2 linked regions of the Sus scrofa genome follow. The protein of the gene in region 2 interacts with the protein of the main gene of each other region in a biochemical or structural test. Links are inferred from orthologs where the notes say so. Each region holds a gene or a part of one and is shown on either strand. Other genes may lie near its edges.

Region 1 (3,804 bases), on a different chromosome or scaffold from region 2:
AGATGGCCACGATGCTCAGGTAGGACATCCAGGGCAGCTGCTCCTGTTGAGGACGAGAGAGGAGAGGAAAGTCAGACTGGGCTGTGATGGATCCTCAGAAGATGCAGAGGGAGCCCAGGGCAGTGCTAAGAGCTCTGGGCTGGAAGGAAGGAGGCCTGGGGCTGATCTTGGGTTTGCTGTGTGACGTTAGGTGCCCTGTGCTGGGGTCACGGTTCCCTCATCTGAACGAAACAGTTTAAGTCCTGCAGGACGCCTGTGAGCTTGTGTCCACCTCCCGGGGACAGTCACGTCGTGTGCGTGCGGGAAGTGCCAAAAGGCCCTCGCAGTCCCCTCGCTCAGGCCGCGAAGCGGGCTGCGTACAGCGGGAGGAAGGGGAAGAGTGTTGCCGGGGGCGGGTGTTAGGAGGCTTGTAAGGCGCCCAGCTCAGGGCCAACACCGAGCAGGCACGCGGTGCCATACAGAACCACTCTGGAGGCGGCCACGGTAGACAAGTACCTGGGCTTTGTTCAGATCCCAGATCCACGCTCAGTGCCTACGGTGGGTGTGCTGGCCCCTCGTCCAGCACTGCCCTTTCTAAGCTCTAGTTCAGCTGTAAAGTGAGTGTACCAGGGCTTTCCTTGCCCAGATGGGTAAGTGTGTGCAGTGCCCGGGGCAGGGCTGTCACAGAGGTTGCAGACTCGGGCTTAGGACCAGCAGATCTGAGGTTGATTCTGGCCTCGTCCATTATCTTCTGCATCCCTCAGTCCCCTGGGGACAGGCTTCCTCGCCTGAGAAGTGGGAAGAGTGACCTAACTGCACCTGCGCATCCTGAGCATTTCGTGAGATGAGGGAGGTTTCCACCCGCTGTGGTCAAGAGGCTGTTACTTCAGAGCAGTTCTAAAGGGAACTGAGGCTGCAGAGGAGACTCTGGAAAAGTCAGTATTAGGCAAAGCAATTCTGGGGAGAGGGACCTCGAGGTCTTGTGGTGAGAAAACGTCAGGCAGAGGAGGGAGCCGGTTTGAGGCAGGATGTGAGTGCGAAAGAAGGAGACAGCCTAGGAGCCAGAGGGGGTGGGGGGCTTCGGGTGCAGAACTAGGGAGGGGGCGGTCACCACCTGGCCTCCGGGTGCTGCTGGCTGGGCTGGGCTGAGACGGGCACTTTGGGATCTGGTGCCCATGTGAGCTGCCACCCACCCCTGCCACCTCGCCGCCAGTGTGGCGACTCACCAGCAGTGCCAAGGCGATGGTCATGAGCACCGCGCAGCCCGCCATGCCAGCCAGGCCTATGAGGTGCAGGGTCCGCCGGCCGGCTCGTTCCACCACGAACAGCTGTGGGCAGAGAGTGTCAGTGCTACCGCCACCCGGAGTCCCTCTGGAAACATCCCTCCCTCCCTCCGCTCCTTCATCCCACATGTAGGGACAGCCACGGGGCCCTGCAGAGACGGAGGTGGAAGGAAGACAGTACCGCCTCGGCCTGGGGGGTTCACAGGTCCGGCGGGGGGCTGGAGAGCCCAGCACCTGGAGGGGAGTGAGGGCGGCCCCCGAGAGCCAGACAGCTGAGCATGCTGCCTGCGGCTTTGGGCCAGCCATCACGCCTCTCTGAGCGTCAGTGTCATCAGCTGTTTGATACGAGTAATGAACTTGACACGTTGTTGAAGATGAAATGGGAGAGCACTTATGGAGCGTGTGACGCATGCCTGGCTCACGGTACTTGCTGCTATTCAGTCATGAGGCCCCGAGGCCCCGAGAGGGACCCTGGATGCCGATGGGTATCAGCAGTGATGAAGAGGCTCCCAAAGACTCACCGACACGACAGTGAAGGCCGTGTTGACGATGCCGGAGCCGATGGTGGCATACACAGGCTGCTGCACGCCCGCCTTCTCGAAGATGCTTGTGGAGTAATAGAAAACCTGCGGGCAGGGGAGTCACGGGGTGAGCCGGGCGCTGCGGTCCGCCCGCGGCCTCTGTCCCCACGGGTGGGGACACTCACAGTGAGGAAGGAAGGAACGGGACACCGCACCGGTGCCCTTACGGGTTTTGGATCTGGGGGAGAGCTTCTCCCCCGGCAGGGGCTCGTCTGTCGTAAGCGTGGGCTCTGTCCACAGCGCGCACTTGAACCCAGGGTTCGGCTGGGGCCCCGGGAGAGGCTGGCCGGGGGCACTCACCGCGTTGATGCCCGACAGCTGCTGGGACAGCTGCAGCACCACGGCGATGAGGATGGGCTGGCGGTAGGCGGCCGAGCGGAACAGCTCCAGGATGGTGACCTTCTTCTCCCGCATCATCTGCCGGCTCTCCTCCTTCATCTCCTGCAGGTCTCGGGTCACGTCTGCCGTTCCGCGCAGCTTCTTCAGCACTGGGGGGCCGGAGGGAAGGGGGGTGGCTCAGCGCGGGGAGGCGGCCAGGGCCGGGGGCGGGGAGGGGCAGGGCCCGGCCGTACCGCTCTTGGCCCGGTTCTCCTCATTGCGGTTGATGAGCAGGAAGCGGGGGCTCTCGGGGCAGAAGGGCAGCAGGACGCACTGCAGCAGGGCCGGGATGAAGATGACGCTCAGGAGCAGGGGCCACAGCTCCTCGTTGCCCATGATGGAGTCCAGGCCAAATACCTGCGGGAGGCAGGGACGGAGAGCGGCTGTCAGTGCCCTGCCCTGGCTCCACGCCTCGACCCGTTCCACCCAGGCGGCCCTCGCCTGCGTGTGCCAGCCACTGCGTCAGAAAGAGGGCTCCAGTCTGAGTCTCGTTCTGCGCTAGCGTGAAGCTTCACTTCTCTGAACCTCAGGGAGAAGCAGGACCTACCGCCCGGCCTGGGGATGAGATGGCGGGGCTTCGAAGGTGTCTGGCAGGGGCCCCCGCGGGCTGCTGCCCTGCCCCAGGACCCCTCAAGGTGGGACGGGGAGGCCTTGAGAGAGGGGGTGCATGCGTGTACCACGTGCACACCCATCATGGCCTGGAGGCGGCAGGGAGCCAGCAGGCTGAGAAACTGGTGGGCTTCCCTGTGGCTGGGTCCGCAGGGTGAAGAGAAGGGACACAAGGCCGAGCGGGCTGGGACGAAAAGTCAAGGCATCTGGACGCTCTCCCACCGGGGGCCCCGGGAGAAGGGTGCGGAGTGCTGTGCCTGGGACGTGTCCCGAGGCTCCCCTGCGAGGCTGCGGGAGGCCGGCTGAGGGGTGCGATCTGGATGCACACCCGGGAGGTGCTGGAGCTGTGGCTGGGGGCTTACCTGGGCGATGAGGATGCCGACGACGATGCCCAGCTGGTGCAGGGTGCCCAGGGCCCCTCGAAGGGCCGTCGGGGACACCTCCCCCACATACATGGGCACGAAGCCCGTGGTCAGGCCGCAGTACACACCGATGATGAAGCGACCCAGGATCAGCATCTCAAAGGATTTGCCCAGTTTGGAGAAGCCCATGAGCACAGCAGATATGAAGGCCAGCAGGTTCATCATCAGCATGGAATTCCGCCTGGGGCGAGGAGGTCAGAGGTCAGGCGGGCCCCTGGATCCCCCTGGAGGCCTCAGGGGCTGGGTCAGAGGTAACACTCTGGAACAGGCAGGGAAGGCCCCCCACCGCCCGCGCTCGTCTGGGCCTCCCTGGGCAGGGCCAGGACCCCCTCTGCTCACCGGCCAAAGCGGTTCACAAACAGGCCCACAGAGAAGGAGCCGATCATGCCCCCCACGGAGAATATGGCCACGGAGAGGGACCAGAGTGTGGTCAGCGTGGCGGGCGAGATGCTCTCCCCATAGCGGTGGAGCCACGTCTGGTTGTAGAATTCCTCGATCACCTGCGGGGCAGAGGCAGCGTGGTGGGCGAGGCCGGGACCCGGTCTGCCTCTC
Region 2 (4,460 bases):
ACCTTGGGAAGACCACACCAGGAGGCCATTTCTACCCCTTATTTAAAATGCCTCAATTCTCAAAAAAGATCTGAGAAAATGGAATGGGCCTAAATTTGTCTGTGTTTTTAAACCCATCCAGCAAAAAAACCCTTGTCACAACATCTCACTGGCTGAGGACGACTGCGCACCCTTTAAGGCCCAAGAGATTGCCTGATGATCACCTCCTACACCGGAGAGTCAGAGGCTGGGGTGGATCTGTACCCCACTGCAGAGACTGTTGAGTCTCCTAAAAAGTCAGTCCAGGAAGAGAGGTGAAAAGAAAGAAGTAGGTATAGCTGCTTCTTTCCTTCCACATGTTCACTGCACGTTGTTGTTGAGGATGCAGGGATCCACCTGGGAGGAAGAAAGAAAAGGATATTTTAGTTTGGGTAAGAACTAAGAGAACAACCCAGTTTAGTAATCCCTCCAAGTCAACTTTCCACTGAAGGCTTAGGACAAATGTAGTGGCAAAATGACAATTCTTACCTCACTGTAAGTAGGTGGTGGCATGAACTTAAACTCAGGAGCATACATAAAGATAGGGCTGTCTTGAGAGCCATCTGTGTCATCTAGCAGAGGAGTGGTGGGGCTCTCCAATCGGTGATCTTCAGGAATGATATCCATATAGCATGGAGGAGCTACAGAGACAAAGTATGGGGATAAGAAGCCTGGCCAAGAAATGCCTGACCATCACAATTTTACAAACCCAAGCAGACCAGAAGGGAAGAAAAGACATTAGGTCTGGCTCACCTTCGGGGGTATCAGGGATGTTTAGATCTACCCAACTCATCTCGGAGCTGGTTCGGCTGGCCATGCTGGACGTCCGGCTGCTGAGGCCTGACCTGCTGCCAATTACCAGGGGCAGGTCAAGAATGACCTTCTTGGAGCCAGGGACACTAACGTAGATCTAGAAAGGAACACGGGAGTTTGTTAGGCTAGAGATCTGGAGAAAACATCACTATTGTTTTGACAGATGAACAATTTCTCTCTCCAACCCTACAAACTCACCAGTAAGAAGTATTCAACTCGAAGGATGTTGCAGCCCAAGATAGAAGGCCTGATCTTCTGCACCCGAAGGCTCTTGCCACGCCATGATGCACAGGTTCCTGAGATAATGTGATTGCCTCTGACCGATGACAACTTCTGCGTCAGTACTTTGGTTTGGCCATTGGCAAGGTAAGTGTGGCGGGCTACAATGGCAGCTTTGGGCACCACAATGCGGGAACATGTATTCTCAAAATCAGCATGGATGTTAATCTCATCACCTAGCAATGGGAAAGATGAAAACTGATGCTCAGTACAATCAACGACTTTTCTTTTGTCCCTTTCTACAGCCCTCATCCCAAACCCATAGTTTCTGTTTTAGCAGTCTCCCATTTTAAGCACAGATTTTTACCTTCACAGAACCCTTTTCTGTCGATTCGAGCAGAGACAGACACCCGGCCATCAGGAATGAACATGCAGGAAACTTTCTTCTCCTTTTTAGCAGACACAGGTGCCTATGTAGAATGGAGGTGTTTTGAGAATTTCTAGAGATCCTTTCCCTGCTTTCCGTTCCTTTCCAGTACTTATTTATAGTAGGTAGCCTTCCCTCCCACCTTGATGATTTAGGACTTGATTCCCCGAGGGGCTTCACTTTTAATGCCCTAGACATTTGACTTAGCACCCCTGAGCCCAAAAAGAACAGAATCTTAGAATGACTTTACCATTAAATCAGGGGTATTGACATCCACTAGATCCATCACTTCGAAGTGTTTTTTTGTCTCTTGAGTTGGCTGGCTTGGGCGATCAAGAAAAGCCTTCACCCAGTAGTCTACACACCCATATTTTCCTTTGAAAGATGTTCCCAGAGGCCTTTATAAAGAAAAAGGAAACAACTAACTTAAAAAAATGCTCTCCAAGAACAGTGAGTGATCAAAGGAGGGGAAGATTTTTAGAGACAGATAAGTCCACAGATGCATTTAGCTGATACCTACCCCTGAGGAAGCTCAAAGCCAAACTTGTATTCATATTTGTTTCCAGGTCTCATGATCACCATCTCATTCTCCCCTGAAAAGAGAGATAAGCAAGTAACCATTAGGTTTCCTGTTACACTTAAAATGCATCTGTGCCGATAAGGAATTCTTAGGCATCACGCAAGAGTATTGCAGAACTCGTATTCTCATCCCTTTTGTTCCTAAATGACAGATTCTGATGTATTTTGTTGGGCAAAAAGTTGCAAAGCCCTGTAGTGTTGACAGGCTCAACCAGGACAGTTAAGCTACAATCATCTCAAACAAGAAGCAAGCAAAGAATAAGCAACTTATGCACAGAAATGTTTCAATAGGTAAGGCAACATCCTTCAACATCTCCAGAACACAGCACCACAAGAAATTGTACAAATCACCCTTTTGGGTGGGCAGGGATTGTAAATTAAAAAGAAACAAAAAGATAAGGAATTGACACAAAATTCAAACCACACCACCTGAGCAACTTAGAATATTTAGTGTAGGCTCTATTTATTCGTATCAACTCTCTTCTCAAATCAGCTTTCGCCCTCCAGTCAACAGCTGGGTCACTTACCTGTTGGGTGGTCGTCCAGGAGAAGAGTGTCTTCATAGCGCAGGTAGTCCAAGGTCTGTTTGCACTGCTGGGATCCCTGCATCCACAGGACTTTGGCCACTCCACAAGCCAGGATCCTGACAGCTTTGATTCGAGTGACTTCACACACCTCCACTATCACCCGGCCAGCCACCTTCTCCCCACAGCCGTACACCTTTTCGGGGTCGTTAAAGACCACCTCAAAAGACTTGATCTTCTTGAACATCACCATGTTTGGGCTCGGTTGACTTGAGAGTTAGAAACGGGGCAGGGGGCAGGAGTGAAAAACAAAACCCCGAATCAAAGGGCCCTTTGCAATGAATTAAAATTATTTCACTTTTCAACTCTCTATTAAATGTTCGACAAGATGTTCCCTTGCTGGTTGTGCCAAGGTATTTCAAAAGAAAAATAAGCTCTTTCCTGTCTTTCCTCCAACAGCTGGAGGAGAGCTCCGGATCTCGGCGGGAAAGCTAACAGCGATCTGCCAGAGGAGTGGAAAGGATAGCTTGTGCTGAGAGCTATAAACTGCTCTATATAGTAGCCGGGCAGGCAGAGCCACGCGAGCGCTGGCCCGGAGGCTCGTGCAGCCCTCGTGCACAGCCCGCCCATTGGCTGCCCGCTCCATGTTTACCAGGAGCCCGACCAATCAGCGAAGTCGCAGCGGCGCGTGGACACAGTGTGCTCCTGGCGGGGAAAATGGTTGTTGTGCACTGCTGCGGCCCTGGGAGGAGGGGGCGCAGGGGCCGTGGGCGGCTTCCCGGGAGCCCAAAGGAACGAAGCATTCGCAGACCCTAAAATTTATCCGAGGCCAGTGGCCTTGGGAGGGCGAATGAGGATGCTTCTGGGCTGGAGCGACATTTCGAGGTAAAAGGAAAATGTGCTTATGAGGGAATTTCGTGCCTAGCCATTGCCAGTGCAGTTAATTTAGAGGCGACCGTTTATTCCCGGCTCACAAATCGCAAGTCGTGTGAAAAACAATCCCCGAGCGCCAAGAATACTTTAGGATTGGGGCGGAGGGCAAGGAGTGCTGCTGTTATTATTCAGGACGAGCCCCTTTGTCTTCTTGCCCCGCATCTCTATTAAAAACACCCCCCCCCCAAAAAAAATAAGCTGATGTGAGAAGGAAATGAGAATTTGTCACAAATTTTTACCCTCTTCTCCGCGCACACAGGGAAGCGCGCGTGTGGGACCTACCAGCCTTTTTCCTCCCTTTCCAGCCCCCAGGGCTCAGGGCTTGGTGCTGGGCTGTTCCTCAGCCCCTGCGCCCCCAACTCAGTTCTCTCTGTTCTCTGGACCGGAAACAGTAAGGGCGCGGCCACATCCTGTTGCTAATGCCCTCATCTCTTCAGTCCCTAACCTGCAAAGTTGAGGGACACTTTGTTTCTGTTCTCCCAGTTACCTCATCACTTCTTTAGTAAATTGTGTTCTCTAGGCTCAGGTTACCTCTCCCTCCCTACTTCTCCAGGAAAGGGGGAAAAAAAAGGATGCTTCATTCTGCGCTTTTTTTCTGAATAACTTTAACTCTTTCTTGCCTTCGTTCCCTCTCCAATTTACTAAATCAAAGGTACATCCCTAAATCTGCTGCCCACCCTCCTCACAGCCTTCAAGTTAATTAAAAGCAGTAAAGTTCTCTGGTCTGTAACCAAAGTGTCCTGTTTGAAGGAAGCATTTCCTATCTTTGAAAAGTTTTTTTTTTTTTCTAAGTTGTTCAGAAATTGCTAAGAAAGCAAAGAGAAGACCGAAGGTTCACTGGCACGCTATATGCTAAAGCTGGAAGAGAACCTGACTCCTCATCCTGTGTTGTCATTTGGCTTGCTGACAGGTGGGTTTTTCCCTAGCTGGCCATGAGATGCCTTAGG

The links.
Region 1: the proteins of TXNIP (region 2) and SLC2A1 form a complex in vitro, tested with the Homo sapiens proteins (2 studies listed by BioGRID). The link is inferred for Sus scrofa from reciprocal best matches to the Homo sapiens genes TXNIP and SLC2A1.

What each region holds. Positions count from the first base shown.
Region 1 is NC_010448.4:168,555,743-168,559,546, reverse strand, and holds part of SLC2A1 (solute carrier family 2, facilitated glucose transporter member 1), read right to left. Parts: intron 3,753-3,804; coding exon 3,592-3,752; intron 3,434-3,591; coding exon 3,193-3,433; intron 2,579-3,192; coding exon 2,416-2,578; intron 2,332-2,415; coding exon 2,144-2,331; intron 1,889-2,143; coding exon 1,784-1,888; intron 1,308-1,783; coding exon 1,206-1,307; intron 44-1,205; coding exon 1-43. UniProt on the Homo sapiens protein: Facilitative glucose transporter, which is responsible for constitutive or basal glucose uptake. Has a very broad substrate specificity; can transport a wide range of aldoses including both pentoses and hexoses.
Region 2 is NC_010446.5:99,347,224-99,351,683, reverse strand, and holds the start of TXNIP (thioredoxin-interacting protein), read right to left. Parts: upstream 3,096-4,460; 5' UTR 2,834-3,095; coding exon 2,584-2,833; intron 2,071-2,583; coding exon 1,998-2,070; intron 1,876-1,997; coding exon 1,728-1,875; intron 1,521-1,727; coding exon 1,418-1,520; intron 1,287-1,417; coding exon 1,030-1,286; intron 929-1,029; coding exon 772-928; intron 660-771; coding exon 508-659; intron 376-507; coding exon 340-375; 3' UTR 1-339. UniProt on the Homo sapiens protein: May act as an oxidative stress mediator by inhibiting thioredoxin activity or by limiting its bioavailability.